Linked DNA regions of Drosophila melanogaster. The protein of the gene in region 1 interacts with the protein of each later gene in a biochemical or structural test. Each region holds a gene or a part of one and is shown in the gene's direction. Other genes may lie near its edges. The genes, in order: shi, sau and drk.

Region 1 (9,879 bases):
TGTTAAGCATTCGTGTTTTAAGGCTACAAAATGGACACTCCGTTCTTAACAACGCCTGCCAATTGGCACTTTCGCGAAACAAGAGCTCCAAAAGGTCGAGCAAAGACAACGTAACGCGACAGGGAAAAATATTTGGCTCGTTGTTTGGAAATCGGCTTAAAGGCAGCAAAAGCCATTGGTATCCATCGCCCGATGCAGGAACATCAGGCAATCAAAAGTCGCTGCACGCCTTAAAGTTTGGAACCCCACACTCGAAGACAACTTGCAGCCACAACAATCGACGCATGTCTGTTCTGAACAAGTTGTTCATGACGAACATCACTGATATTCTGGCCACCGGCGCAGTTGCCGATTCCATCGTGGGACACGGAGTGCAGATTTCCTATGTCAAGATCACCAGCGACTTCTCCCGCATCAATGTCTATTGGATGGGCAAGGATGGCGGGGAGAACCAAGAGCTCGAGAACACATTGAATCGCATGAGCGGCAAACTGCAGCACGAGCTATCGCAGCTCCATCTGATGGGCGAAGTGCCAAAGATCAAGTTTGTCCGGGACAAAACGAGCACTGGTCTCCATCAGGTCCACGAGGTTCTGTCCAAAATCGATCTTCAGCACAGTTACTCTAGTTCAAATGCGGAAGTTGAAGAAAGCGACGCACAGAGTTGTCAGACGGCTGCGGATGAGGAATGGCCGGAGATGCGACAGGATTTCCTCAGTTTTAACCATAGCTTAGTTATGGACAAGATTCTCGGCAAGATGCGCAAGTCCAAAGATGCCTGGGTTAATCATAGACAAAATATTGCGAAAACCTAACGTTTGTTAAATCCCTCGACTTATGTACATAATGTTAATTATTAAAGTGTTATTCAATCCAATGTAAATTGGGTTCTAAAGTTGAAAATAGGGGTAGGGTCTGTAAACGTTTAATCATTTTCCAATAAGTTTGAAATGTTGGCTACTTTTATCCCAACTAGTTCATCATGTTGAGTGGTTTTAAAATAGAGTATCGATTGCGTTTCTAAAAAAAAGCTTTAACGGCTTAAAATTGAATGTCAAAGGTCAAATCATTACCATACTCGATTATGTTATTATGCTTTTAAAGCTTGCGCACTGCATCTGTATCTGTTATCGATATAAAGCAAAAACGCAGAAAAGCCGGACATGCGCATAAAATGAATAGTTTTATAAGCTTTTAGTATTGGTTATATATTCCCTTCAGGATATGCATATTGTAGATGTGCATTTAATTTAATAAATAGATAGATAATTACTTGTAAGTTAATGTAATCAAATCAGCTGTTTTTGATAGTTGCGATAGTAGGCGACCTTGCGCTTAAATTGATATCGATGTCGGATAAAGCACTGGACTTGTTATCGAAACCAACACTTAGCTTCGGCATACGGAAACTATTCGATATATCGATGTATCGCGAGTGATTCACCCAGCCCTATCAATTATACCAAAAAAAATCAGACCAGACCAGCTTATCGGGTACAGATTGATTACTTTCTTGCATCTCTAGTTTTAGTCGAAAAAATCCATTGAAACGATTTGGAAGCGGAGTGTGGTGATAGTTGTCAGTTTTGCACAATAAGAAGAATATTTGTTTAAAAGACCAAGCCAAAGCCCAAATCGCAGTGCGCTCTTTGTGGCGATAAACATGACATCTACACTAACACAACACAGTTACGCCTGAGAAATAAGTGACAAATTGGAAAAGTCGATGATAAATTCGTTTGGGAGTATATATACAAATTATTTTCGTGTAAATGTCGATAAACACTTTTGCTCGCAAAACCCAACAATCATACCCGTCTTTACCTTCTTCGCGATTCCAATTCCGATTCCAATAAGTTTCGCTACATCGCCATTATAATCCGAAGAAGCAAGAAAGGTTATTGTGGTGGTACATACAATATATCGGGTTGGTTAATCGTGTGGGAGAATGAGTAACTCATGAGTGCTCTCCAATAACGATTTCTGTTTGCAATTTTCCCCATTCCCCCACGATTTACGCATATTTGTTATTAACCACCACCCCCACCGCCGCACACAAATTTTGTCAATTTTTTTTTTGTGTTATCTATACAAACGAAAAGAAAAGTGATGGAACGCATGAAAGTATTTATAATGCAGCAATTGTATTTTGCAGAGGAGTGTGTGCAGTGAAGTAAAGCCAGCGATTAAAGGAAACAGCATAGAAAAAAAAAAGACCCGGGAGCTGAGCAGTAAAAACACAAACATCCGGACGAGTTGGGATCGCAGTTCGATCTGATCTGATCTGATATCTAATCTAATCTAATTGTGAGGGAAATCGGACCTCGCCGCAATGGATAGTTTAATTACAATTGTTAACAAGCTGCAAGATGCGTTCACATCGCTCGGCGTCCACATGCAACTGGATCTGCCGCAGATCGCGGTGGTCGGTGGCCAGTCAGCTGGCAAGAGTTCCGTTTTGGAGAACTTTGTGGGCAAGTGAGTATCCCCCGCACGCCTTATCAGCATATTATCCTCTCATATGGGATCATACTATCATACCATATCACCCTATCAGCACCCCAAATATCTAGCCTACATATATTGTGATTGATAATGGACCTGAAGAGACCCCTCTTTGGCATGCAGCGAATCGATTTTTCTGCACGCCAGTGCTCAGCGAAAAGTAGCGCTATTCTTTCTATTATGTCTGCGTTTCGTGGAATGCCCAATTAAATGTTACTGAAAAACTATGAGTAATCGCTGATAGCACTCGCTTTCAGGCATTATTATTATTTTTTTTTTTTTTGGTTGTTTATTAACAATCAATAATTGGTGTCTACGAAACAAGTGTACTTGCTCATAATGACCAAACCATATCAGTGGTCTTAACTTAATTATGATAATAAGAATTTTATCTTTCACCTGCACAAAGCTGTTGAAAATCCAAAAGCCCCGCAGCTCTGCAAACTATATTCACAAAACGAATTGTAGAACATCTACGTATACGTATTTTGAATTTTGTTAAACAGAAATCTAAATTGTATGTATCAATGCGATTTCTTGTGTGTTTGTATCTATAAGCCTGCGCTGTCTCTCATTTTTCTTTGTTAGTGTCCACTCTAAATACAAACATATAAAGAAAACAATGGCTTACGCCCCAAAAAAATGCAGATAAGGCCAAAATGATAGTGTGTCGGCGATTTAAGTTTTTCCCCACTCTTGCCCAACGATTGAGTAGAGTAACTCACATTCTATATGTTTACTTTCGAATATATTTGTAAAAGTTTGACCTCCTTTAGAGTCGATTTATTTATTTTTCATAGCTTGCAAATAAGGGGGGGGGGGGGTGCGCTGAAAAAGAACATTAATCAATATGCCCATTCATGTATTTACAAACTGCATTGAGCCATGTAAAGTTTGTGCTTACATAAGTCCACTATGTTCAAAATAGTCCAGTTAGATTTCGCATGCGCCGTGCTTTATATGTATGTATGAATGTATGTATGTGTGTCAATTAGGGTGGTTACCCCGCCCCCCGCCCACCTGACACCACTGAGCCATCGGAGGAAGCGAGAGAGGCAGCGAGACCCACGGCCACGGCAGGCCAAAGTCTTAATGTCAATGGAAAATGAAGGCTTCTTCTAACTCTGGTCAGTGCGAACAGGATGTAGGTGACCAGAGTGTTCAAAATGACCCATTTACCATTTGATTTATTAGCCTAGCTAACAAATAGCTTTACTTTAAGTACTCAGTGGTATTAAACAATGCCCAACACTTTTGGAGTCCTGAAGTTCTCACTTGGAAATTTAAACACTAGCTGCAAGTCATAAGTTAAATTTCCATTAAGTTTTTAGTATTGGCAACTCAAATACTCATTATTCGATGCAATTTCAAAATGTTTTGATACTAGGCTTAATGCTTTCTACATACTTCTTAAGCCCAGTAGTAATATTGTTAGATGAACAGGCTCCACAATCCAAAAACCAAAGACTTCTATGATTCCATTATTAAATACAAAACGTTTTCCCCATTTTACAGAGATTTCTTGCCGCGCGGCTCTGGTATCGTAACTCGGAGACCACTAATCTTGCAACTGATCAATGGAGTTACCGGTAAGTTGAGCATTTGATATGATTAAAGAGAAGCTATCTTCTAATGCTAACATTGATATTTATTGCAGAATATGGCGAGTTCCTTCACATTAAAGGCAAGAAGTTTTCCAGCTTCGATGAGATCAGAAAAGAAATCGAAGATGAAACGGATCGTGTGACCGGTAGTAACAAAGGCATTTCAAACATTCCAATTAATTTGCGCGTCTACTCGCCGCACGTACTCAATTTAACCCTGATCGATTTGCCAGGCCTGACAAAGGTGGCCATTGGCGATCAACCGGTGGATATTGAGCAGCAAATTAAGCAGATGATATTCCAATTTATTCGCAAAGAGACTTGTTTAATTTTGGCTGTGACCCCGGCCAATACGGATCTGGCCAATTCGGATGCCCTCAAGCTGGCCAAGGAGGTGGATCCACAGGGTGTGCGAACCATTGGCGTTATAACCAAGCTGGATCTGATGGACGAGGGCACCGATGCACGCGACATTCTGGAGAATAAGCTGCTTCCGCTGCGACGTGGCTATATTGGCGTGGTGAATAGATCCCAAAAGGATATCGAGGGGCGCAAGGATATCCACCAGGCATTGGCCGCCGAACGCAAGTTCTTCTTGAGCCATCCCTCCTATCGGCACATGGCCGACCGTCTCGGCACCCCCTACTTGCAGCGCGTGCTCAACCAACAACTAACCAATCACATCAGGGACACGTTACCTGGCCTGCGGGATAAGTTGCAGAAGCAGATGCTCACTTTGGAGAAGGAGGTGGAGGAGTTTAAGCACTTTCAGCCAGGCGATGCTAGCATCAAAACAAAAGCTATGCTCCAGTAAGTTCAAAAAAAAAAAGGATTTCCGTTTGTAGCTCTTGATTAAACTGGTGTATTTACATTCCTACAGAATGATTCAGCAGCTGCAATCAGACTTTGAGCGAACTATCGAGGGCAGCGGCTCAGCTTTGGTGAACACAAACGAGCTCTCAGGTGGCGCCAAGATCAATCGCATTTTCCATGAACGGTAGGTGTTTGTGGTGTCTTTTTGAAAAGCCCCCTAAAACTGATATGATAACATCTCGTTGCTTCAGTCTGCGCTTTGAGATCGTAAAGATGGCTTGCGATGAAAAGGAACTGCGACGAGAGATCTCATTTGCAATTCGAAATATCCATGGTATTCGCGTTGGCCTCTTCACACCCGACATGGCGTTCGAGGCGATTGTCAAGCGGCAGATAGCGCTGCTCAAGGAGCCGGTTATCAAGTGTGTCGATCTAGTCGTACAGGAACTTTCTGTGGTCGTGCGCATGTGCACAGCTAAAGTAAGTTGGCTTATTTGCTGGCACCAAGCTAAGCACTAAGTTTATATATTTTTTTTTTTTATCTTTGAACAGATGAGTCGATACCCACGTCTGCGTGAGGAGACCGAACGTATTATCACAACACATGTGCGCCAACGCGAGCATAGCTGCAAGGAACAGATCCTGCTGCTTATTGACTTTGAGCTGGCCTATATGAACACCAATCATGAGGACTTCATTGGCTTCGCCAAGTGCGTATTTGATCATTTGGAAAGGGGCGTAGGGAAAAACTAAATCTTGCACTCATTATAGCGCTCAAAACAAATCAGAGAATGCCAACAAAACTGGCACTCGTCAACTGGGCAACCAAGTCATTCGCAAGGGTCACATGGTCATCCAGAACCTTGGAATCATGAAAGGTATGCACGTTCCCCCCACCCCCAATGACATTCTCAATCAACTTGCTATTGATTGAAGGGCAGTAACCTTGTAAATGGTGACAGAATGCTTTGTTAGAAATTTAGTTTTCAACGTTTCCGAAATGAAAGAAGAAGTGCGTTAAGACTGGTCACCGCTTGGTGGCTTGGTGGTGGTCATTTTGAAACTTTTATAATTTGTATTTTTTATGTGAATATTGTCTTTGTCATTGAAAGATATAAAATTAGGACGATCTGGACCGCTAAACGTACGATTTTTCAGTCCTTCTACAGGTACTATCATGTTTTCTGTTGCTTTTGCTTTGCGTTCTTTGGATAATTAATTAGAACACGCCACTCTTTTGCATGTGTTATACTTTCAATCATTCTTGAATCACTCGAATCGAACACGATTGCTGCTGACCTTCCATAGGCGCGTCGAGCATCCTTCTTTATATGAAGGATACGTAGGTACAATATCCAGCTTAGCTAACAAAATTGATGATGATTACTTCTCGATGAGGCGAAGAAGTTGTTTACGAGCGTTGCATCTACTGACCCAAAAACTGTTTCGTTTTTTTAAACTGGAGATTTCATGGATACGTATTGATTTTCGCATGTGTGTCTTGCAGGTGGATCGCGTCCGTATTGGTTTGTGCTGACATCCGAGAGTATCTCCTGGTATAAGGACGAGGATGAGAAGGAGAAGAAATTTATGCTGCCGTTGGATGGTTTAAAATTGCGTGATATTGAACAGGGATTTATGTCAATGTCTAGACGTGTTACATTTGCTTTATTTAGTCCCGATGGACGTAATGTTTATAAGGTTAGTAATTTTTGTTAACATACAAAAAAATGAATTTTAAATGATTTCAGAAAACAAAACCAGAGAAAAACTTTTAAATCAAAATAACTAAACAAACAAACAAAAGCAATTTTTGAAGATATTTTTACGCAAAATATTTCAAATCTTCATTATATAACCCCAATTTGAATCCTTTGGTTGAAATAGTCCGGGAAAGAGATCAATTAATTATTTTTTTGTATAATATAAAAATTACTATGTTTTTATCAACATTTAAGTCGAATTGAAGGAAAAGGAGCTTGCCGCGTCGTAAACTCCTTTTGCCTTTTGATTTCGTGATGTGCGCTTTTAGCTTAAGAAGTTCACGGCTCTATTTGATTCACAATGAATCGCGCAAAAAGTAGTCATCCATTAGTCATTAACTAACCTCTCGATTGTATTAAAAGCTATTAATACATTCCCTCAAAATAATTTTCAAATCGATATTGCACTCTCCAAAAAGATAGTGATCGATAACGATTTTTAAAATGCAACCTCGTTCGCAGGCAGAATAAAGCTCATGATATAATCATGTGATTTATACTGGTTGTACAAGGTTAAGAGAAGGGACTTTTTCCGATTTTCCATTACAACTGCTTTATTCTCTCTGTACTTCTTTAAAAGCTTTGAACTTTTTAGCCCAAAAAAAAAAACGAGTTTTCCGATAGAATTAACAGCAATGGGCTTATAACTCTACCTATTTCCTTCCTTTTCGGAACTTTTAGGACGCTGTTTCCTTCCAAATCATTGTGTGCCAGTCAGTCGCCTGGTGGTTTCATCCAGCATCCCTCATTTATGCCAGAAACTTCCTTCCTGCCTCTGAATTGAACAGCTAGGCTATTTTACACTAAACTTAACAACTCAACAAACAGTTTTGCTTAGTGTAATGTCTAACCACTTAAAACATCACTTAATACACAAATTAAACGTTTATCTTTAAGCTACCAATGGTTTTTATATTCATATGTCACTCACTACAAGCAATACCTAAACCGTCTGAATATTTAAAAAAAATATGTTTTTTGAGATTATGTAACGCGTTTTCAGCAAGGCATCGCTCTTCACGGACTGCGAAATCCTGGATTCAAAAGAACTGATGGTCTGATTCAATTAAAAACTGAGAGCATCTAGGCATGTTTTAAGGCTAGTTCGCTCAATTTCCTTAGTTAGTTTTTATGAAACATAAAGCAATATATAAACCACTTTGTTGCCATTGCCAATAAAGGCGAAACAGCACTATATTAACAATTCTTGCTTTTTTAAGGGCTACACTGCTCTACAACGACTTTCGAAAAGTGTGAAATCTTCAATGGGTATATCTACAAAAAAATAACGTGATATTGCCATTTGATTTTATTACATTTCAACTAATCGATAAAGCCTTTTCTCTTCTGTAAGTCCGTCCGCATTGAAAACAGGATTCTCGTCCGCCTCTTCAAGGATCTTCAAAGAGTTAGTCTTTTATAATTCAGGACCAGCAGAGTGGGTGAAAGCGTATCGTTCGTTTTATGACAAAAGTGAATCCCGTACCCAACTGATAATGATTTTCAATTGAATGTAGTGTACCATTAGGCTAAGCAAAAATAGCGCTTTTGTATCAAAAATGTTTCATTCTCTGCCTTCGAACACCCGGTATTCTAGGACTACAAACAACTGGAGCTCTCGTGCGAGACTGTGGAGGATGTGGAGTCCTGGAAAGCATCCTTCCTGCGAGCTGGTGTCTATCCCGAAAAGCAGGAGACTCAGGAAAACGGCGATGAGGTGCGTACATAGATAGTTTACTAGTAATCCCTAGATCTAAGGCCAAACTCGATACTAATTGGATTTAGAAAAGAAGCGCTACACGAAGTAGTGGCTTTATAGGAATATTATATATTATTATTATTATATATATAATATATATTATTATTATATTATATGGCGTTTTATAGCTTTCCAAAAAAGCTGAAATTTTTAAGGTTGTATTTTAAGATGGCATAGTTGTCGTTTAGATATTTCCACTTAAATTGAAAGCATTTCCGATTACTACATTATCTATATATTTATATATCTTTGTTTCCGCTGTTTCATTGACCAAATCAACAAAATAACTCGCAATATCGATGCTTTAAATGTGCATTCGTCATCCAGGAAGGACAAGAGGTTTGTTAATCTTTGCATCTTTTCGGAATATATACATATATATTGTTTAGTAAACTCATCAATTAAATTTCGTATAAATGTATGCGATTTTGAATACTAATAACTAATACATTATTTTTAACATACTTTTGATCATTTATCTTTCGTTTAATTTCGGTTGTTTCATTTTTAAAGTCTGGTGAGGTATTTTAGCCGTTATTAGATACAAATTGTTTTTATTATTAAAAAATAGAAATTCCAAATTTTAAACTACTAACATATTGTTAATCGGCTGAGGATTTGCTAAAATTAAATAATAACTGCGGCTTTAAATGTCATCACATTACAAAAAATCATACATATGAGCTAGTACACCTCGAAGTCTCAAGATGGTGTAACCCCTTAAATGGTTAAAGGTGCGATAAATTACCATATCACAAGCCGAGTATTACAAATTGGATATATATATATATAAATTCGTTTACGATTGTGTTAAAATTGAAGAGTTTTGATCAAAGTTTTCCACTTAAATTGAATTCATTCCACTCGGCTTGTGATACATTTCTTTTCATCAGCTAAAGTTGTAGTTTGTCGGTCTTCCATCTTGTTTATTTAACTAACTTAGAATTACTGATTAAGATAGTCGGCTGCTCGACTATGGCATTGTTACTGGTTTCTTATAACGATTGTGAACATGTTGTTCTCTTCTATTTTTCCGCCACCTACCAAACAAAAAAAAAAAAAAAAAAACGACCAATCTATCTATGAAACGCCAAAATACACACAAAAATTAATAATTTCTTCCGGTTGGTTTACTTAGCAAAAAGTATGTTGATTTCAATTGTTTATATTGGTTTGATTTTTTTCCTTATTAAATTGTTGCATTTTCTCACGATATAATTATTCATTTATACCCGCTACTGAAATTACTCGTAATTATTTCTAAGATATATCCATGTCCTCCGTATATCTGAATAATCGTTGAGATAAAAACTAAGTTAGTAGTTGGGCTTGATTTGTTTTCATTTGTTTGAAACGGGTTAACAATAGCGGGTATCACATAGTCGGATATTCGGCTCTATTGTTCCTCCTTGATTTTAATCAATTTCAAGATGAC
Region 2 (12,543 bases), on another chromosome or scaffold:
TGTTTTCTTGTTGAACTAGCTGTATTTAGAAATCGAGACAATAAATTCGTGTGCGAAAAAGTTTTGAAACTTTGCCAACAAAATTCGACGCATCTCAGGCATTTTCACCGCGTGACCCCTTTGAAAATCGAAAACGCAGCGTTTTTTGTATGGTTCTCGCCGGGGAAATAGAGCGTCCGAAAAACCATTAAAAATTAGGGTAAACATTTCAGAAGATCCAGACTTGAAGCTATCTTTAATGTCTTACGCTTCAGCTTCTGGTTTCCATTCAGAAATCGGTTATAAATCAAGAAGTGGGAACTCAAACACAACTTAAACGAAACGAACGGTTCATTATGTCACTCCACTAAATTTAGCACTACGCTCTTCTACGCTCACCGCGCTCTTTTACACTGAGAACAATATAACTGTATATGCTTTAAATGGATTAGTATTATAAGAAAGCTTCAAAAAATACTTGTAATATTTATTTAATTCAGAATGATGATTTTGTTGCGAATGCAGATGTTAATACCAAAGCTTTTCTCTCGGTGTGTGGACTCTCTATTTTTCATCAGACATATGGCTGGTTGATTTACGCATTGTTTGCTTTGCATTATTTGTCTTTGTGCCAGTACCGCTGTTAATTACCAGTTCCTACAACTCACAATTCGCTATTTGCAAATCAACCGGCAAAGTAAACAACAGAGAGAGAGACGGAGAGAATTGATTGCAATCGCAAAACAGCTGACGATGCTCTCTCGCATTCGCTGGCCGTCTGATTCTAAATGTTTTCCTCAGTTATGCCTGAAATGTAGAGGCGAAATCAAGTTCGGCCGCGAGAATTAAGCCATAAAATTTACGACTTTTCGAACGAAAAACGAGACATAAAAATGTGAAAACCAAACAGCGAATGGCTTTCAAATAAAACGCTTCATTGAGCTTAAGCGCTTTTTGCTATCTAAAAATCGAACTTTAAACAAACATAGACAAAAATTCACGATCAAGGTCAGTGGATATGTACTCTATTATGTGTTTTGTGGCTTGTTTACATATGGCCAAAAATAATTGGTACTCGTTTTATCAGTTCGAGATAAAGGCGGTTTGACTCGGAGGAAGTGCATTCATGCTTGGAGCCCAAAGGTTAAACCGGTATGATAACGCCGATGAGCGCATAAACCCGTTTAACTTGTCCAAGAACCAGTGCAAAGCTCGGAAATATCGCGATTTATTGAGACTCAACAAGTGGAATAGTAGATACACATATGCATGCATATATTATATGCGATGGAAATCGGAAGAGTTTTTCCATCTTTAATTTAAATAGATTTTTTTTTCTATTTAAAGCAAATCTTGAATTTTGCTTCAAAACAACATATCAGAGTATTTGTTCGTTTTGTCTTGGAATTGCTCGATTCTTCAATCGGCACAAAAATTCGCAGTTTAATGGCGAAATCCGCCAGGCAATGCATTAATCGCTGTAAGTGGCTGAATTATGTGGGCTAGTGTACCCCAATAACGTCACTTGTCTATTTATTCCGTGCAATGTCTACCTAAGCAATTTCAATTATGAAGTCACTCGCGAATTGTGTGCCAAAATTCGTTTGTTTGCGGCTAGAATTGCTTGTCTTGGGCTATTTGTCAAAACTGATATCCAGTGAGTGATAGGATTGCATAAGAAAAGGGGGAGTGTACATCGATACTGCGTACCCGTAGGCCTTTATTGATTCCATAAGACGACATTAATGCTCGTACCAGTCGACTTGGGACATCAGATGGTCTTGAACTTGTTCTATTTTTGTGTTCCCAAGCACACGCAACGATATTAACATATTAAAGAGGCCTTGAAAAGAGGTCTTAATGCTTTTTATTTATTTTTAAGTTGTTTCAGTGGGATTTAGTTGCTCGTACTGTTGATATGTAATGTTGTGACCAGAAATATTTTATTTCAGTTTTCGAAAACCTCGAAAGGCAGACTTGAAAAGGCTGCCCCAAACACCCAGCTCTACGCAAATCCACCCACAACAAGTTAATCAACATGTTGCGCAACACGCCTTTCGGTGCCACGCCCACCTACAAACTACTTCTGGGCTTCGGACTATGCTCCCTTGGGGGCGCCATGCTATATGCCTATTTCAAGACTCGAAACGACGAGGAGGAAGCGGACTCAGGTGGCCAACGGCCGGCATCCGGGATTAGAGGACAGACAGAGGAACAGAAGCCCCAGAAGGAAGTGTGCCTCAAAATCGTCGTGGACAACGAGCATGTGCCCCTGATAATGGGTCGCGGTGGATCCAATATCAAGTTGATTGAAGAAAAGACCCTGGCCAAGATAAGATTACGGTAATTGGATTTGAAAATTATCGACCCAGGAATTAAACCTGACTAACAAAAATCAAATTCTTCTCCTCCAGAGACAAAGACAGTGGCCACAAATTCTGCGACATTAGCGGCGTTCCCGATGCGGTTAAGGCGGCTCGAGCTCTGCTTATCAAGGAAATTGAACGTGCGCCCGTGGTGAAAGTGGAACTGCAGGTGCCCCAGAGGCTGGCCAGCAAAATTAACGGACGCGGCGGCGAGCTCCTCCAGGAGATCCGGAGCAGTTCGCTAGCCAAGCTGAATATCGATTTAAATGGGCGGAATGGAAAGGCCAAGATTACGATTATCGGCAATCAAAAGCAAGTGAACATAGCCCGAAAAATGCTGGATGATCAGATAGAGGAGGATGAGGAACTCGTGCGGTCCATGGAGGAGGTGGAACAGCGTCGGGAGCCCCGCAGATCTCCCACCAACAGCATTGCGTCCAGCATGTACTCCTCCCAGACATCCCTAAGCTCTCACACTCAGCCCAGAGACAAGCTAATGGCCTCCAAGGGCGAGGGTAAGCCAATGGAGGTTTATGTCTCCGCGGTGGCCTCGCCCACTAAATTCTGGGTTCAGCTTATCGGACCGCAGTCCAAGAAGCTCGATAGCATGGTCCAGGAGATGACCAGCTATTATAGTAGTGCTGAAAACAGGGCCAAGCACGTGCTGACTGCTCCATATGTGGGTCAGATTGTGGCAGCCGTGTTTAAGTTCGACGAGAAGTGGTATCGCGCAGAAATCGTGGACATTATGCCTAACCAGTACAATCCAAAGGAGCAGGTGATCGATCTCTACTTCGTGGACTATGGAGATAGCGAATATATTTCGCCAGCTGATATCTGCGAGCTGCGCACTGATTTCCTCACGCTCAGGTAAGCAGTTCGACTGATTGGATAGACATAAATTTATATTTCACTATTTTAGGTTCCAAGCCGTTGAATGCTTCTTGGCCAATGTAAAATCTACCATCCAGACGGAGCCTATTACGTGGCCAAAGTCTTCAATCGCAAAGTTCGAAGAGCTGACAGAGGGTATGATTTCAGCAACAGTTGCTAGATATATTTTTGACTAAACACCGAACATTTGTAGTGGCACATTGGAGAAAGCTGATTGCTCGAGTGGTGACCTACAAGGAGCGTCCACGGGCAACCACCGCTGTAAGTGCTGCTGCCAAGGAGGGAACCCCGCTGCCCGGAGTGGAACTATTCGATCCAGCCGACAACTCTGAACTAAATATTGCCGATCTGATGATCACCCAGGGCTTTGCTCTGCCCCTGGACGATTCGTATCCAGTGCGGTCACGCTCCTCGACGCCCTCAAGTAACAGCGACTCCACCATTGAGGAGTTGTGCGTCAGCAATCCAGTGACTCCGCTTACGCCCCACTCACCTATGTCGATGTCCATTGATGTTGACAGCATTACGCAGGCGGAGAACGAGCACCTCGCCCAGCAGCTGCAGCATTTGCAGCATAAACTGAACGGAAACGACATAAAAAACATTAATCCGGCTAAACTGACGGCTACAGACCTCGAAAACGGGAATAACAATAATGCCAGCACCACAAATGGTGCTAGCGCGCATTAGGATTTCACATTGTTACTAATTATCCTCGCCTAATTGTTTATAAGATGAAGGCTGGACGAGCAGCTCACTACTTGACGTGTACATAAAAGTATAGCTCTTAAGGAACTTATTGTATAGGTACGAAAGAAAACTGTTTAATTTATCGCCGTGACTGATCGACATATCCTAGATCCTAAAAGCTGACGATGGAACGGCACAGATCCTTAATTGTTTATAGCAACCTTTGCCATGTTACTTATTGTTAGCAAGAACAAGAAAAACATTTGTACATCAACAAAAAATACACAAAAAAGATCACAAACTTATCAAAAGAAATGCATTTTATAAGAATATCAAGCTTAAGTCTATTTTGGTGGCCTGTTTCAGAAATCTGTATTAGAGAAGTATTTCAATATTCTTTGAAAATAAGATTTTCTAGATGACGTTAAGGCATAATTGAAAATGAATATAGTTTCTTCAAATGAAAAGGGCTACAAATATTAAAAGTCGCTTAAAGTATATTAAAAAACCCACCGGGGGGCAGAATTGCAGTCTTGTTTGGGGGATTTACCCCACGCTTAGATTAGGATGTCGTTGGTGGTGTTTATAGCTATGGGGGGCAGGTATATGGCGCGGATCTGACTGCGCAGGCGTACGATTTCCATGTCGTCCCTTTCCATTTCTCTGATGAGCTGGGAGAACTGGACTAATCCCTCGCGGTTTCCAGGAAACCCATGACCCTTAATGACCTCCAGTTGGAGTTGCATCACCAATGGAAAAACCTGCAATGTATTATGTTAAACTATTTGGTTATTTGTTTTGATTTGCTTGGTATTTACGTGCTGCATCATGAGAATCATCTCTTTTCCAGCGGAAGCCTTTGCCTCTGAGAGTTTCTTCGAGTTTTCCGGCTGATTTACACAGCGTATTATGTCCATAAGAATTTGCTTGGCAGTATCACTGTTGAAATTGGTCAAGTAGGACATTATAAACGTTTTAACGGCAGTGTTTGTGACGAATTTAGGCAAAATGCAACAAATTGTAGTAGGTTTTATTTTGTGTTTCCGTTAGAGATGAGTCATACAGCGATTACAACTATCGGACAAACTATCGGTTCGGATTCATAACATTACCAAACCCTTAGTATGGACAAGGAACTGTAATATCATTCAAACAAAAACTTTACGATTAAATAAATTAAGCTGAATTACAAAAAATTAAGAGTAAAAGTTAAATTAATTTCGTTTTAACAGCACCTCTAGAAGCAAAACGTTATCCAACACTTAAGGTCTGGAAAATTGCCAGTACTGAAAAGTGCGGAAATCATGTCACGTCGGAACGTCGACAAAAGACACAAATAATAGGAAAAAGCTTATTTCGCGCAGGCACTCGCATATTCCCAGTAAATGCAAGGCCAATGCAAATGCACCATTAGTACGGGCCACCAAATTGTAAATCAAACCGTCGAGTTCCCAGCGCAAAAACGCCGAGCAAAGCAGCAACAACGAAACGCAGTTTAGGGCCTGCATTTTTGCGATAGTGTGAAAAGTGCGTGTGTGCAAAAGAATACAAAATAAAGGGGGCGCAAAAGAGTCAGTGAAAACAACAACACACAAAAACACAAGACACAAGTACACAGAGAAAAACGCAAACACCCGCACTCGCGCAAACAGACACACACACACACTGTGAAACTCCCAACGTCGAGTCAGCAAATTGTGCCACACACACAAAACGAGGAAAGAGGAAGAAGAGCAGCAGCAGAAAAACATAGGTGCTCCGCTCGCATCCCACATCTCCAAAACTCCATCGATCCGAACTTCCCGACTACCCAACCCAACTCTCCGGAATGAATCGCTCCGACGGATTGGTGCGTCGCTCGGTGAAACCCCGCGAAAACGGTGGGGCGGAGGGTGGGTTGAATGCCAACACGCCGGACGACAACCAGGATGCACTGGACAACCTAAAGGACCAGGAGGACAATATCGACGATGGCGACTCCAAGGAAACACGACTAACGCTCATGGAGGAGGTTCTGCTGCTGGGACTCAAGGACAAGGAGGTGGGTGTGCTCCTTATCTCTTATCTGCTTGGGATGCACTAATTAATTGGTTTCTTTCGCAACATAAGTGCTTCTTCTTCACCTGTTAACCGACGTCTCTCTCTCTCTGTCGCTCTCACGATTTCTCTCTTTCGCAACCTCTTGCTTGGCCCCAAGTGCAACGCAGTCCATCTTCCAGCAGGGGCGTAGTGAAAATTGGATACAGGGGGGTAACTTATCACTTCAGTTATGGGGGCAACAATGTTTATCTGTCCTACAGATAAACATTTTATGCCATGTCTTAGCCACTTCTCTTAGCTTTTCCAGTTTGTTAAGCAATGCACTATGAAATCTTTTGACCAGCCTGCTGACTAATGCGCAATCAGTGAGACTGCCAACACCATTTTCTTAACCACTTTTGTTTTTGCATTAATTAATAGTGTGCTCCATCTGTTAAGGTCTAATCAGCCGTTCATTCTAATCTATAGAACCCATTACTTGCCCTTTGTAATACTTTGATGTACTTCCCAAATAAGTGATGATATATTTATATATAGTATATAATAGGTTTATTTTATGTGTTACACTATCGCGCAATTGCTTCCAGTGCCAAATCAAAAAGATTCTTAGAATTGTTGCCAACGTTCTTAGTTGTTGGAAAGATAGCGCTCTAATACTTCTTCGGTTGGCAGTTGTGGCTATAAATACATACATATCTCTTCGAGAACTTCACTCCGCGCAGCACGGAGAACGGTTTCGTCAAACGAGTTTTCCAATAAGTGGTTAATTTGCATAGGTTTGTAATATTCATAAATCTACGTATAGCGCGGGATGATGTCCGTAAATGCGAACCATCATCCATACGTGACCCATTATGGCGAACAGGCAGATTCGCATTTCTCCATTGAATTCGGTTTTTATATTTCACTTGGCACACAGCTTTATCGCTCAATTGCTGTTCGCTTGTACCACATAGGAATGCACACATGTGCCTTTGTGGCTGGCACCACGTCTATTTGTTTTCATCATTTTGCCCGCAGTGTATTTGTGTGACCACCCACACCTCCATCCCTGCCACCTCCTCTCCCTTCGCATAAGAGGGATACGAGCTGGAAACAGTGGGACGTGTTGCCCGCTTTTGTTTTACATTCCCCTTCCGAGCGCTCTTATCGCGAAGATTTTGTCCATTTGGTTAATTGTTTGAGGAAGTACATACTATCAAGTGCTGCTCTCCTCTGCCTAGCTCTCATCCGTTTCGGGCTTTTCTTATGTCAGTACGTCACTCATTTTCGAAATTATACAAAGTACTTGGCTTCTACCCACACCATCCATTAGGAAAATTTCAATATCTCGAACTGCCGAACTGATAAGCGACGTGTTCTTTGCAAATGATTCACTTTTATACCTTTCGTTCGGAACGATTCCTTATCAATCATCTGAGCGATTGTTATATAAATTATTTTAAAATCGTGAAATGGCATTGAAACGTGGTTGAGGTATCTATCTATACCTTCCAATTATCATAGCTTTTCAAGCGTTAATAACAAGAGTAATTTTTGTAATTGATTTTTTATGTGGTTATAACATAACTCTTCTTGTTCGTTTTTTCATTTATACTAGCTAGATAAGCATTGTATTTTTTAAATTGACAGTTCATACACTTCTGTGGGCAAGGCCTAAACAAACTCAAGTGTTTAATGTTTTAACAACTGAATACTTTCGTCTGGGAGCTTTACGACCCCGGCAACAGGGTAATTATTCATTTCTTTTACGCCCAACACAAGTGAAAAGGCCAAACCATAGACTTGCTCAAATATATTTCAAAACCTTGAAACATGAGACAGTAACCATTTGTTAATGAAGTTTGTACTTACATTTATGTTAGATAGAATTTAATAAAATTTTAAAAAATAAACAAGTAACGCATTCACACATTCTTATTTTTAGATGCCCATCCAGGCCAATCAAATAGCTTGAATCTAATAGCATTTTTAATTACTTTCAGGGCTACACATCTTTCTGGAACGACTGCATATCAAGCGGCTTGCGCGGATGCATTCTCATAGAGCTTGGACTGCGAGGTCGCGTGATGATCGAGAAATCTGGAATGCGGCGACGTGGTCTATGTACAAGGTATGTATAGAAATCTAGTTTCCACATCCTTTCAGAAGCATGCTAACTTCAATTCGCCAACAGGAAATTAATACTGAAATCGGATCAGCAGACGGGAGACGTTCTACTCGATGAGGCACTTAAACACATTAAGGAAACAGATCCCCCGGAGACGGTGCAGAGCTGGATTGAATATCTTAGTGGTGTGTATTTAGGCGCCTGCCATTTCGCCAAGTATGTTTTGTATAACCTATTGTTGTGGCAGGTGAAACCTGGAATCCGTTGAAATTGCGCTACCAACTGAAAAATGTACGCGAACGTCTGGCCAAAAATCTGGTGGAGAAGGGTGTGCTCACGACGGAAAAGCAAAATTTTCTACTCTTCGATATGACGACACATCCGCTGAGCGACAATGTTGTCAAATGTCGCCTGGTGAAGAAGGTGCGTAACTAGACTTGGATATATTCAAGAATTCTAAAACTGAATCCGAAATGTATGACTTCAGATCCAAGATTCTGTGCTCTCCAAGTGGGTCAACGATCCACAGCGCATGGACAAGCGGATGCTGGCGCTTATCTTCCTGGCGCACGCCAGCGATGTGATCGAGAACGCCTTCGCGCCGCTGAATGATGACGACTATGAGGTGGCCATGAAGCGGGTGCGGGAGCTGCTGGATCTCGACTTCGAAGCCGAGTCGGCCAAGCCGAATGCGAACGAAATTCTGTGGGCGGTGTTCATGGCGTTCACGAAATAGACGATCCTCTGATCCTCTACGCTCCTCTCAATAGCACACACACACACACAACACACACCCCAACACAGAAATACAGACCCACATCTGGAATACATTTTGCTGCTTTTGTTTTAGAAACTTTGCTGTGAGTGGAACCGAATCGGGCGATAGGATTTTCTTAAATGGCAACCACCCCAAATATCTGTTTCAGTAATATATATTTTTTAAGCGAGACTATAAAGCAGCCATAATTCCTATTTAAATATACATATGTTTATCAACACTTCAATAATACCAATCAAACGCTCCATTGTCCTTTAATTTTTTCCTGTTCTGTTGAGCATAATAATACATGCCAATGTTTTGCAATCATAATCAGTAAGTTGTGTTCCACGACACATAGAGTTTAGTTGATGATTTCTCTGGCAATGCAAATCAAAATGTATGATGGAAAATTTAAAGCTGCAGCATTGTTTTTGTAATTATATATCTAGCACTAATTGTAAGCGCCAACAAGAAAACTTTGATAAAGTCTGGGCAAGCTGCGTGCGATTGTCTATTGTCAAATATCCTATATATATTTTATCAAAACTTTTCAATTCTATTTTTGATTGTCAAGTATTTTCGAGCCCTTTCCATGTATTCGATTGCGCGTAGAAAATCAGTTCAAAACGTTTCTCGAGCTCCGCAATTTTACCTTAGTACGTTCGACCTTAAGTATGCACCCACCCACATGAACAGACAGACATGCAGACAATTTGACACGGAGCGACATTCAATCTAGGCAATGTTTTAATTTAAATTGTTATTGAATTTCGGGAACATTGAAGTTGAAAAACCTTTTCTAACTGCTAAAAGAAAAATAAAGAACGACAAGAAGTGGACAGCAAGAAAAGAAAAATTATGTAAATGTAAACTGTGCACGTCAAATAATACTAATTCTTAGATATTTAAAGGCCTAATAAAATACAAATATAAAATATATAACTGACGCAAAATTGAAAGTTTATTGCAATTTCGGTTGTACCCCTCCATAAATCAGAGGAAAAATATAAAACATTTAATGAAAAATGGGTGATGAGTTTTAATAAAAGGGGGAAAGCAAAAGTGGACAATCGTCGGAGGAGAAATAGGATTCTTTCCGGTGTGACGACCAATCCGATTTAACTTATCTACTTGAAAGCATAGCCCAATTTTTGATTCGCTTTTTAATACAGTTTTTATTCCGTTTTTCATTCTCAATAAATGTGTTTTTGTTTTGCAGTGTTTGCATTTCTTTCGATAGTTGAAGGGGCAATATACCATATAAGTCGAGTAATTCTCACACGAAACATTTAGGTTATAATATAATAATCTTTCAATGACATAAAGTATGATAAAAAGCAGGGCGCAGCGCACAAATTATTGCAAAAATACATTAGGCCAAAAAGGATGTGAACAAAGAAGTGCTCTTATACTATCCGTTAAATCAACTAGCAGTTTTCAACTGTGGAAAATTTGCAAGTAATTTGTAATTACAATTAAACATATTCATGGAATTTTATAAGAGAATAATTTTTTTCTAATTTTGCAGATAAGCAGTTGCCTCGTTTAACAAATGTTTCGTTTCTAGCGCAGCCGATCAAAAAAAATACATACAAATATATATATATAAAGTAAAACAAAGCAAAATATGAAAACTTTAATAAAATTAATGGAAGAATTGATACGCTCGAAATGATAGCCATTAATTAATATATATGTATATGTATTTTGATGTAAATATAATTGAAGTTCCAACAGCTTTCAGCGCCAGTTTCTGCTTCTGATCCTAAACCCTTTGCATTTCTTATTTTCCGAGGCGACTGCGCATGGACGACAGACGACGCATCCGAGCCCTGTTTTGGGAATAACTGTCCGCCCATCGCTGCTCGGGCTTGTATGTGCCGGAGTAGCCGGCGTGCTAACTCAGCAGATCCTTAATCTCCTTGTGCATGTGACACAGGAAATCCACGTAGCTGGCGGAACCGTCTGTACCGCGGTCCTCCACGAGGAAGTGTCGGAACACGCTCTCCAGTTTGTCGTTCTGCCGCAACCAAGTTATCTGAAGAAAAGATTAAGATCGTTACACATTTCCACGAAGGCAAAGATTTGATCACTGCAAATACGCACCCTCATGTATCGCGAGCGCTCCTTCATGATCTGCTCTAGGATGCCGTGTATGCGCTTGGCCAGCGGCGTTTCTGGAACAATGTTAAACCGCTCCAAAGCTATTTGCTGAAGACCCTGAACGCCGAACACGGACTGCACAAAATCAGGCGACAATGCCTGGCCCAGCCAGACGAAGAGGTGGACTCCATTCTCCAGGATGTAGGCGCCATCCTCTTGCGTCTTTTCGTGCGTGCAGCGAACGGGAGTCGGCAGATCTGTCTCCTCGGGTACAACGTTGTGGATGGGAATGAAACGGGGATACAGGTAGCTGACGGATTGGTTTAAGTCCATCGACAGAATAAACTGGATAACATAAGATCGATCGTCTAGCGTCATGTCCGAACCGCCGGAAATAGCATCGTTCTTGAGCAAACACGAGGCATACAGTGGCAGCAGCTTCAGGCACTCGGGAAGAATCAACTGGCCGGCGGAGGTCGGCGAGGTGCAGTGCTTGCGATAGCAGGCCAGGATTTGCGCCGATCGATGGATTAGGTTGTCTTTCACCTGCTTGGGTGAATGCTCCATCAACTTGAAGCAGGCCTGCTTGGCGAAGAACAGCATCATCGCGTCCAGGTCGCAGCACTTAAAGACATCCGCAATCGTTGTTGTAACGCGCAGAGCAAGGTTAAGAATTCGCAGACGCCTTTGGCCGCTGCACGAGGTGTACAAGAGTGCGACTTGAAGGTACACGTTCTCTTCTGGTGCCAGCTTGTCGTCATGCTTGATCTCAATGCTTATCGACTTGGTGGCATCTGGAAATCGAAAGGAATATTATTAACATATATAAAACCAAAATGTAGCCGTGATTGCATACCAATACTGGCCAGCTCCACATCAGTTGTATTGGACATGAAGAAGTGACCATAAAACTCCGTGGGTCGAATGCCAGCCGATGTCCGCACCCTCATCACCGCGTCGAAGGCGATCGGTCGCGATACGTTCTTAATGATATCCTGTATTAGTCTCTTGCCATCCACGTCCGCCTGGAAGTAGGTGTACTTGAACACCTCTCCACCAGTCAGCCGAGAAACCTGCCCAATCGTGGCCAAGTCGATGTAGGCGTTGTTAAACACGAATAAGTCCACGGAGCAACCCTGCTGGACGCACTCCTGGCCCAGTGTGTTATATGCAGTGGTTTGTGGAGTGAGTACGGTTTTCTCCTTATCAGTTCCCAGAAGCTTCCGATCATCGCGATTCTTTAGCTTGCCAGGCGCCTCCGCGATGGGTAGCGTTGAGTTAAACACCAGCAGTTTTCCAGCTGCATTCGATGCCTTCAGTGCCTCCAAACCCGCTTGAATGGCAGGGTACAGAATCGTTTCGGTTTCCTTGGTGTCGGCAAACATACGAGGGATCTCTTCCATCAGAGCATCGATTACAGCAGCCGACTCTTCTGGGTGGCACAGGAATCCATCCAGCAGGGGCATGAACATCTCCTGGACATCGCCCACAACCATCATTTGCGGCTGGGCCAGACTGCTCTTGATATTGTAGAAATGCACGGTGCTGTTGTACGTGATGAAGCCCACCCGCACCTTGGATTTGTCTTGACCCTGGTCGAC
Region 3 (10,289 bases), on another chromosome or scaffold:
AGTGCAACAGCAAAATTCAAAATTCAATTTAAATTGCCGTCGAGTGGTCTTCCTTTACTTTTATGAATCAGGGTGAGACCGTGTCGCTACCGTTAAATTATACCGCCATACACACGCAGATATACTGAAATTTCCTTAGGAAATACTGGAAAATACTTCAAAATTATACGGAGCCATGAAGGTGAATGACTTGGGTAATATGTTAGCAAAGACTCATACCAAAACTAAATTCTTAAAATTTATTTAGACAACTTGAAAAATGCAAATATTTTAATATTAATTTTCTGGAACTCCAAAATTCAAGTTTTACTAGTTGAGTCGCGTAATCAAATTTCTGTGTTGTGATATTAAATTGTTAATTTTAAATTTCGATCCCCTTTCAATAAGAAAAGCATTTCAAATTTATTTATTCTTCTCTTTTTTATTCCTTTAACTATGTCTAAATTATAATCAAGGTAAGATAGATAATTAAAAATAAAATAAGCTTTCATTTTCACAGAACATACTCGTCGAACATTTAAAACGCCAAATGTAATTTTCAACATCTTAATAAATTAACACTTAATGGCATCCGCAAAAAAATATTAAACTAAGAAGATAAAAGTATAAACAATTCCACAACGGACAATTACTGTCAATAGACAAAACTACATAAACTCGGAGGAGGGACGCAGATTCACCCGCCGATTGCGCAGCGTGTACGTGCGAGGAGTTGCTTCATTCTCCTGATTGGAATCCCTTCCCGGATTCTGTTCCAGGGATCCGCTTTCCGTGGAGGCTTCCAGCGACATGTCCTCCTCGCAGTCCTCCAACTTGTCGGCGCCCACTGTCTCGTCGTTGCTAATGTTTCCCTCCTCGTAGGTGAACTGGAATCGTCGTACGCTCTTCTTGGCGCTGAAGAGCACGCCACGGTTCTGGCGTTTCGTGGTGCCGGGCGTCTTGAGGATGGAGGTGCGCGGCTTAGGCGGCGGCGTCTTGGCAGCGTTCTGCTCGGCGGCCGCAAGAATCGCTGATTTCAGGAGCGCATTTGGCGCAATCGACTGACGGCCCTCGCCGGTGGACATGCGGAGTACTGTGCGGGCGGGCGAAAAGGATCGGCGGTTGCGAACTACGATTACTCGCGGCGAACTGTGGCGCGAGGACGTGGCGGGCAGGCCATCCTCCAGCGTTGGCTCCTCCACCTTGGTCTTCTTCATGTTGGCATGGGCTTTGCGGAGGAACTGCTGCAGATTGCTGCTCGGCTTGGCCTTCGATTTGATCTTCATGTTGCGACTTATCTTGGGCTTGGGCTTCGGCTGTTTGGGTTCCTCGGCCACGGCATCCGGATCCAGCCAGTCGTTGGCCTTCCAACGTTTCAGGTTATCGAAACGCTTGTCCACGTTCTCGCTCTGCAGGCGCAGCATGTCCCACCAGCCCTCCAGATCCTCAGCCTGCACCGGTTTCGAATCCTCACTGCCATCGTTTGGCTGACTGTTCTTGCCGGTCGCTCCAGCCTCGCAACGATCGATCAGGCCGCTGAACTGCATCATCTTTTTTGTGGTCAGCAGACGTGTTTGACCGATGGTCACGTTGATCATGTCAATGCCGCCCGTTTCCTGCAGCCGTGCCTCATTCTCCTTGCTGTACGCCTCCCATTCAGCGCAAAGCGCTTGGAGGCGCGTGATCTCGTTTTCCAGCTGCAGTCGGAAGTACAGAACCGATTCAATGGCACGGCGAACTTCCAAGGGCGATTCCTCATTGGACAGGTAGAAGCTATTGCGTTTCTCCTTCTCACAGCGCGAGTTCACCTTTCCCCGCGAGACACTAACAAACGGACTGAGATAGTTGGGCATTCCATTGGATTCGCGACGTGGCGGTGTCTTTGTACCCTCTGGCACCAAAGTGGAATCTCCAGTGTCTTCTTTAACTGAAAGGAAAATGTGAGTTTGAGTTTAAGATTGGAGAAGGCGTATCCCAAACTCACCCGTCGTCTGCTGAGGATCCAAGATGAGCGAGTCCTCCGCCGGCGAATTCGCCACTGAGTAACGCGTAAAGTCGAACTTTTTCTTTGCCACCGGACCTGACGCCTCTTTCTTACCTTCCGGCAGCAACTGCCTTTTCACCGAACTTTCTCCTTCAGCTTTGACCGGTGCCACCGGGCTCAACAAGATGGTGTCGCCAAACGCCTCCAAAAGATGACCGCTGCTATTGTTCGACTTGCACTGCGTTGATGTGGCCTGGTCGATAAAGGGATTATGGATATCGTCTAGCGGCGTGAGAGGCGGTATATCTAGCGTGGCTGCGTGCAGCAACTCGGCTTTGAGCTGAGGAAGCTTTCGCACGTTGTCCTGAAGCCTCGTGTACTGGCTCTTTATCTTGGTGGCCTTCATTCGTATGGAGTGACTTGCTGCCTTGCTGGTCGCTCCAGCTGTGTCCTTGAACTTGGCCGCGGCACCACCTCCGCCACGTATAGGCTGTGGTTTCACGACATTCGCCCGTCGTGTCACTGGTGCCTTGTTTCCTAAAGGTTTCTCGAACGGCTTGGACAACACATTGGGCAGTCTAGCTGTCCGTGGCGCTGGCGGCTCAGGTAATCTTGGCTTTGTGCTGACCACTGGTGGCTGTTGTCGTATGCCTGGCGTTTTCGCTTTCGTGACTGTCGCTGGGGTGGGTCTGGGTATGGTGGTAGTGATCTTTTTCGCTTCAATCCCAGGCTGCCTTACACTGGTAGTTTGCTTCGTTGTGTTGGGAATGGGTCGTGCAGCTGCTTTTTGCCTGGCCAAGGCCACTGGATTGTTGTTCTGACGAATTGCAGGCACTATTTTTGTTGCAGAAGCAGCTGATTTATGCCTGGCCAAGGCGGAAGATGCAGCCACGGTATTGGATGACGGAGGAGCTGCTGCTGACGTTGGCTTGGGTATTGAAGGTTTAATCGGTTCTGCGGCTTTTCCCTTGCCCGTCGGATTGGCAATCATGTAGAGAGAACACCGCTTGGGAGGCTGGAACATGGGAGCCGCCTCCTTCTGCTTTGCAGAAGCCAGATTATCGGGAACCCGAAATGTTTGTGATTTGGGCAAGGCCTTTGATTGTTTTACTGTCGGCACATTGATGGCTGCGCCTCGACGTTTCTGGTCTTGCTGCTTATGCTCCTTGGTCTTGGCTATCTTCCACTCCATGTAGCGTTGTAAGTAGAGCTTCTGGCGGGAGACCTTCGGGTTGGATTCCTTCAGCAGTTCTGCGGGCTTCGTGTCCAGCCGCTCCGGACTCTCCAGTTTGGGTGCCACATTTTCCTGGGTCAGAGCAGCTTGGGCCGCCGCCAATTGCTTTATTTTGACGGGCGTCGGGCTCACGCTGATGATGCGGTTCTGATAAAAACAATCCTCTCGTTTTTTGGCGCGCGCCGCCTGCAACCGATCCCTGTTCTCCTGGCAGTGATTGCGCGGACTCAGCACCAGCGATTGCTCCTTGTACAGTTCCTTGTGGCGCTGCATGGCGACTGCTGTGACGGATGGGCGAGTCAAACTGAAGTGTCCGGTTGGGAATGAAACGTAATGCTGACTTTTCCGGCGAAGCGTCTCCTGTTTTGATTTTTAAAATGGCGAAGCGTCTTGCGGTGTGACCAGGTGAAGGAAAACTACGAAAGCCCTGCGGTATGCCTCTCCCACAGTGTTGTGTTCAGTATATTTTCTTGGAATAATAAAGCGACCCGGCCACGGTCACGCTGCTATGAAAATAAAAGTGAATTACAAATTTAGCAGTAGTAATATGTTAGCCAAACCGCTCCCGCGCCTAATTAGTGTCGCTTAAGCTTGCAGCCACCCTAGCCCTTTGAAATTGTAAGCCCGGCGGCCTCTTTGCACGTGCCAGAGACTCGAAAATAGTTAGCCGCAACTTACGCATATAGAAATATAAGCGCCGCGTGTGTGTGTGTGTGTGTGTTTATTGGGGTTACAAAAAATAAAACAAACAACAACGTCACCGCGGCAGCATTGCCAACAGCAAGCACCCACGCCCTAGATTGCCAAATGTTAATTGTGTTCTAAGCGACACATTTCATATTATTTAAGGCAAATTACTTCGCATAACAACAAGTAATAGCCAAACATCGTCTAATTGCTTTTGCGGTACCTGCTTTTCCCCGAAATTCCAAATCGCAAGCTGCTGGCAACGCTGCCACGCTCACGCACACACACCCACACAGTGGCCGCCGTGGAGAGAGCGGCTCGTGTCTGTGTTCATTCTCTGTTGCTGCTCCGCCTGGGAATGTCGTCGTCGTCGGTGTATTTTTAATCGCTTTCTTCCCTTGCCTTCGCACAAGATATATTATTATTAACCGAACTGAGAAAAGCGCACTGCCGAATATCCATGATTTATCGTTTATATAATGTGCGCTAACTAATCGCGGATTCGTCTCGTTTCGTTTTCATTTCCACAGCACTGAGTAGTGAGTGAGAGAGAAATTCAAAGAGAGTTAGAGAGAAAGAGCAGAGAACGAGCGTGTGTGTCTGTGCCTCTGTGTGTGCGTGTGTGTGGTGCATCAAGGCTGATAGAACTAAATCCAAAACTACAATTGCAACTAAATTTTAAAACAAACTCCGAAAGCGTTTTCTAACTGCGCACAAAACAACACAGCAAAATGGAAGCGATTGCCAAACACGATTTCTCTGCGACGGCTGACGACGAGCTGAGTTTTCGCAAAACTCAGATTCTAAAGGTGAGTGCTGTTCCAAAATCATCAATTCCCACCTCAAATCATAATATCTGCATTTATTCATAGACTTCACACTGAATGGGGGCACGCAAGGGTGTAAGGGGGTGCACAGGGGGACGTGGCAGGTCCTGCATGCATAATCCGCTGCGATGCAGCTGCCGCCGTCCAGGTCGTTGCCTTAACCCACATCCTAGGTTCAATCCCCAGACAGATTTTGTTACTAAATCGCGACCAAACAGACAGCAGTCGCAAAAGCTGGCTAAAGAGTTTCAAAAGGTGCATTCGCAGAAGGCAACACGAAAGGATTACGACTCATTAGCCACCGCAGCCCGAATACTCTTACTAGAACGAAAAGATTCAGTCAAATATATTCCACTATCAGTACAAAATCCTTGTGAAGCATCACATACTGAAATATTGTACATTCTACTCTACATTTTTTCATTTCTCAACTGCACTTCAAATCTATCAAGACCATATTTTTGACCCCATTTAATCTGCATATAGTTGTGATTAGCATTACAAAGTAAGTTTAAAAAATGATGTGAGGAGGGGGTTTCTAAAGCTATAAACATGCATATATGATTTAATCTATATACTATACTTTGCAAATCTAGCATTTTTCACTGTGTTTCCTTGAATGAACTTATTTATTGTTAGCATTCCTATAGTATATATACTATTTCAACTTTCCTTATTCGTTTTCTTCCGAATGCTTAGAAAAACAATTCCAACAGTTTGTAGTGATGATATATTCGATGCCCCCTTTGACTTTGCGGAACTTTGTGGGGGACATCCGATGCTTACCCGTGTTGCTTGTATTCGCTGGCTTTTCTGGCCAAGAAAAAGGCTGCTGGCAGGCTGCGATTCGATCTTTTTCGCCGCCTTGCTTCCTTCCAGGTGTTTGTGTTTGTGTTGGCTCACTGGCTCGATGGCTGGCTGGCTGGCTGTCCTAGGCCAAACCCTTTGTTTTGGCTGGCGAATTTTCCGGTTTCTTGTTGCCAGGGCGCGATGTAAGCTGATTTTCGTTGCTGTGTGTCTACCTTGTCGTAGGTTAGTCACAGCAGGAACCCAGGCCCGTGGCAGGTTTTCTCCCTTTTTGTGCCTCTTTTTTTTGCGCCTCTTTTCCATATGCCGCCGCTGCATTTGCAGCATTTGTTGCTGCTGCTGCCGCTGCTGCTGATTGATGGTGTCAATGACTCGCCGAAGAGGCTTCTTTATCGCCGCCCGAAGGTCAAGTGTGTGCGCTGCTCCCGTCCATTAGAGGGGCTTCTACGCCGTAGATGAGCCCTCTGTCCAGCTGCACGGTCTTATCAATGGGTAAACAATCCGCACTGATAGTCATAGTTCGTTTAATAGCCCATAGTTCTGGGCTCCATTGATGCGGGGGATAAATAGAAATACACGATTATCTCGCATTGGAGATATGTATGTTACGCATATCTGTTCGAACTCCCAGCGCATTTGTTTGTTTGCCAGCGATTAGTCACTTCTCGATAGCCTTATCTGAAAAGATGCCCCAATCCAGCAAACATACAGCAGGCATAGAAGGCGATAGAGAGAGGAGCGCTGTGAATCATCAAACATTTCATTGGGGTTCGTTCTCTTTCCAGAAAACTGGTTTACAGGTCAGCGTATTTCTTGGATATTTGGAGCTCCATTTTCCAAAAAAAAAAATGCCTCCAATTCTAACGGCCTTGTTGTGTGGGCACCAAAAGTGGCCACGTTTTATCATAACAATGTGAAACACACGAAATGGGATTCTGTGCTCAACTTTCGCTTGTCGCGAAAACAGCGAAAAGTGAACGTTCGTGTTGCTTTGACACTTTTTTCAGCGTCGGATTTCCGAAACGACAATAGAATTTTTTCTCTAGTAATTACATAAGCATACGAGTATAAACAATTGATAATAACAATCATGGCCACTACGTGCCTGCCTTCCGAAAGCGCCGCTAAATATTTATGCATTATCCAACAGGCACATTGCACATTGCCTGCACTGAAAAAAAAATGGTGCACTTCCTTATGCAGTTGGGAAAATAAATATGCGATCATGGAATACTTGGAAAGTTTATGTTCTTGAAGCATTTCAGCATATTTAAGTTTATATTATTTCTAAACCCTCTGGTTTTTCCCAGTGCTGAGCGGCGAGAAAACTTTCTGTAATAGACGACGAATCCGTGGAAATGAATTTCTCGGCGGCTGTTTTCAATGAATGAAACAATCTAAAAATAAAATAAATATACGATGAACAATGTCTGGGTGACAGATGCGGGCGGGATGGTCGGTGATCGCGGGGTGGATTAGAACTATGGAGCTATGCCAATTAGTCGGCCAGATCCAGCTGAGCGGGCAAAATCCCACTGCCACAGCCAACAGTGAGCACAATAATTGGGTTTTACATAAGCTGGAAACGACATTGACACCCCATCCACCTCCAGCTCCACATCACCCAAATCCCCTCCACATTCCGACGTGCGAAAATGTAACCAAAAAACTCGAAACATCATTATACGAATCGAATATGATATATCTCATATTTATATATATATATTTGTATCTTTAATTAACAAGAAATCGATCTGTGGGTTAAGGTATTATGTTTGTTATTAACCTCGTATGTTAGTAGCGTGTATAATTAACGATGAGACATTCATGGGGTAATTACAAGTTGCAACTTCAGAAAAGTAACCAACCCTCAACTACACAGTATCAACAGGGGTTTTTTTTGTGGGTGACTCATTTGAATGCCATTCCATTATTCCGACTTGACGAACAAGCTATATTGGAAAACAACAAAGCTACCAAATAAACACTGAACTGCTCAAGGGAAAAATGGCAGAAATCCATAAAGATAGGAATATGCTTTACTTAAGACTTAACTAAAAGTCGAAATCCTGACCTTTGCACAATAAACACATTTCCTGGGTATTTGTGCAACCGATTTCCTTGAGAAAAGCAAACAGATTCCGAAAACTGAAGGCTGCTGGGCGCCGTCATAAGCGACGAGATTCATTCATAAAAGCTCAACTCAGCACCTTCGAATCTGGGAATTCCCAGTGGCCAAGCAAATGGCGAGACCTTTGCAGATAGACAATCTTCAATTTCGGCTGTCAATCGTAAGATATCATAAAAGTAGTCGATGATTACGTAGGCAGCAGCCTGTTGTTGTGTCATTGGCATGCGAAATGGGCTAGGAAAAAGTTCATTAGATAGACAAAAGTGAAATTCGTCCATTCGAGTGAGTGCTCCGTTTCACTTAACATTCTTATCACATGTCGCGGCCATAATGCTTGCCTATTTTTAGCGTTTCGCAAGAAAAAAAAGATATGAGAATAGTGGAGATAATAGATAAATATGTACGTTTCATACCAAACCATAAGCCTATCTTCGCTGATTGCGCACTGACACAGTTTTTTGGGACAACGCTCAATCAACAAACAATTGAAAACTGTTCATCGAATCCACTGGGGAATCGGGCCAGTCGCCAATAAACAAAGCGGAAGAATGTCTCGATTGATCGCCATTGTCTGGGGGGGTTGGGATTAAAGGGGAGTGGCCCTCAAAATGGAAACAACGGAGGCAGGTTCTTACAACAAATTTTCGGGGATCGGATTACTCACTGTGCAGCTGGTACTTTGGTTTCGTGAGAAATGGGAATTAAAATCAGATGCTCCGGTTTTAATAACTTCATGGAAAAACCAAAGAACATATTTAACATTTAACTCAGCCTCATGAAGCTGAATATATGATTGTTTTATTAGGCAGGGGTAGAAGATTTAGGTAATTTTATGCCCATTAAGATCCTTTTTTCCACAAATCAAGCTTTCTTTATTAGTTATTTAATCAAAAATATGGTTCATTACATTTACAAACCCATTGATTTGTATTGCTTAAATTAACTTACATCCCTTCTTTTTACACAGATATTAAATATGGAAGACGATTCAAATTGGTATCGCGCGGAGCTGGATGGAAAGGAAGGCCTCATACCTAGTAATTACATAGAAATGAAGAATCACGAGTAAGTCGAGCCTGAAATTTCCAATATCGAGACCCAAATAATGATCATTTCTATTGTAGCTGGTATTACGGACGCATCACACGCGCCGATGCTGAGAAGCTGCTGTCAAATAAGCACGAAGGCGCCTTCTTGATACGCATCAGCGAATCCAGTCCCGGCGATTTCTCCTTATCAGTCAAGTGAGTTGCGCTTGAATGGCTTCAGCTTTCATATTTATGATTGAAAACCGTATATAATCGAAATTCTTTGCCCCTTCAGATGCCCCGATGGCGTTCAGCATTTCAAGGTTCTGCGCGATGCCCAAAGCAAATTCTTCCTCTGGGTGGTCAAGTTCAACTCCCTCAACGAACTGGTCGAATATCATCGGACGGCGAGCGTGTCCCGGTCGCAGGATGTCAAATTGCGTGATATGATACCTGAAGAGGTGGGTGTGCCGTCCATTCCATTCCATTTTGATGTGATGAGTTTGCTCAGCAAACATGCAGATTCATTTTAAAAATACAAATTTCGCATAACACATTGAGGTCATGTTTGCGTACGATGCCGCCGCCACCGCCCACCCATTTGAACTATAAACAAACAGCGATGCCAAGAGTATTAGATTGGATTCATTATGTCCGAACGATTTTTTTTATTGCAGATGCTCGTGCAGGCGCTGTACGATTTTGTGCCACAGGAATCCGGGGAATTGGACTTCAGACGCGGCGATGTCATCACCGTCACAGATCGCTCCGATGAGAACTGGTGGAACGGCGAGATCGGCAATAGGAAAGGCATCTTCCCAGCAACTTATGTGACGCCATATCATTCATAATAAGATAACTTCTAAGGAGGGACGCCACACACAATCCTCTCCGGGAAACGCGAAAAACACAACACACACCCATAACGATTAGGCAGCATTATCAGCAATTGCGAATAACAACAAGAAGAAACTAAAAAACACAAATTTTAAATATTTATATACAAGAAACGTGGACATAAATTCTGTAGACAACGTATAGAACAACACAAGTTTAAGCCTTTAAGCCGAATGCATTTTTTACGTTTTGACGTTTTTTGATAAAACAATTACATTACGATAACATTACGAAATCGTTTAATAGCAACTGAGTGACACTTTAAACTAGATATGTAAATTTATTTGTGTATTTATAGCTGCGGCCGAAGAAAAAGGCATTTGATCGGAGTTTTCCTTTGCAATCCTTCCGCACAGAGGACGAAACTCACTTGCTACAATCTTGACCGCAACTATAGGCATATGCAAGTATGTCTACATACCAGACCAGGCACTATTATTATTATTGTAAACAAGCGGATTTTTGATATAAATATATAATTTAAGTTCGATAAAGAGAAGTTCTGTCCTGTGCTTTTGAACGTGTGTTGAGGATTTTGCCCTACATGTGCTCTTTAGTTTATGTTTTGATGTTTTCAAGGAGTGCGTTTCGCAGCGAGTGAACACTTATATTATTATGATTATATGATAACGAATTACCAACCAACCAACCTAATGCTTAACACGTTTTATAGAAAACAAAACAAATTCACTATGAAAAGAAAACTTTTGCCTAA

What was found.
Region 2: the proteins of shi (region 1) and sau form a complex in vitro, tested with the Drosophila melanogaster proteins (one study listed by BioGRID).
Region 3: the proteins of shi (region 1) and drk form a complex in vitro, tested with the Drosophila melanogaster proteins (one study listed by BioGRID).

Annotation. Positions count from the first base shown.
Region 1 is NC_004354.4:15,890,673-15,900,551, forward strand, and holds the start of shi (shibire), read left to right. Parts: upstream 1-1,527; 5' UTR 1,528-1,579; exon of another isoform or gene 1,580-1,909; intron 1,910-2,155; 5' UTR 2,156-2,332; coding exon 2,333-2,478; intron 2,479-4,020; coding exon 4,021-4,094; intron 4,095-4,162; coding exon 4,163-4,919; intron 4,920-4,989; coding exon 4,990-5,106; intron 5,107-5,173; coding exon 5,174-5,402; intron 5,403-5,474; coding exon 5,475-5,632; intron 5,633-5,693; coding exon 5,694-5,800; intron 5,801-6,034; coding exon 6,035-6,091; intron 6,092-6,429; coding exon 6,430-6,623; intron 6,624-8,282; coding exon 8,283-8,402; intron 8,403-8,771; coding exon of another isoform or gene 8,772-8,783; intron 8,784-9,582; coding exon of another isoform or gene 9,583-9,588; intron 9,589-9,879. Other genes in the region: CG15916 (uncharacterized protein), read left to right, coding at 1-815. UniProt on the Drosophila melanogaster protein: Microtubule-associated force-producing protein which is involved in the production of microtubule bundles and which is able to bind and hydrolyze GTP. Implicated in endocytic protein sorting.
Region 2 is NT_033779.5:2,221,312-2,233,854, forward strand, and holds sau (sauron), read left to right. Parts: upstream 1-5,030; 5' UTR 5,031-5,757; coding exon 5,758-5,970; exon of another isoform or gene 5,971-5,994; intron 5,995-6,052; exon of another isoform or gene 6,053-6,293; intron 6,294-7,954; coding exon 7,955-8,082; intron 8,083-8,145; coding exon 8,146-8,264; intron 8,265-8,326; coding exon 8,327-8,502; intron 8,503-8,566; coding exon 8,567-8,815; 3' UTR 8,816-9,788; downstream 9,789-12,543. Other genes in the region: papi, read left to right, coding at 2,018-2,322, 2,394-3,215, 3,268-3,374, 3,433-3,929; CG15387 (uncharacterized protein), read right to left, coding at 4,487-4,690, 4,748-4,894; Sec24CD (secretory 24CD), read right to left, coding at 10,737-10,877, 10,946-11,736, 11,799-12,543. UniProt on the Drosophila melanogaster protein: Phosphatidylinositol-4-phosphate-binding protein that links Golgi membranes to the cytoskeleton and may participate in the tensile force required for vesicle budding from the Golgi.
Region 3 is NT_033778.4:13,496,217-13,506,505, reverse strand, and holds the start of drk (downstream of receptor kinase), read left to right. Parts: upstream 1-3,664; 5' UTR 3,665-3,815; exon of another isoform or gene 3,816-4,581; 5' UTR 4,582-4,615; coding exon 4,616-4,693; exon of another isoform or gene 4,694-5,032; intron 5,033-5,497; exon of another isoform or gene 5,498-5,885; intron 5,886-8,616; coding exon 8,617-8,714; intron 8,715-8,773; coding exon 8,774-8,893; intron 8,894-8,972; coding exon 8,973-9,138; intron 9,139-9,354; coding exon 9,355-9,528; 3' UTR 9,529-10,289. Other genes in the region: mars, read right to left, coding at 648-1,906, 1,964-3,470.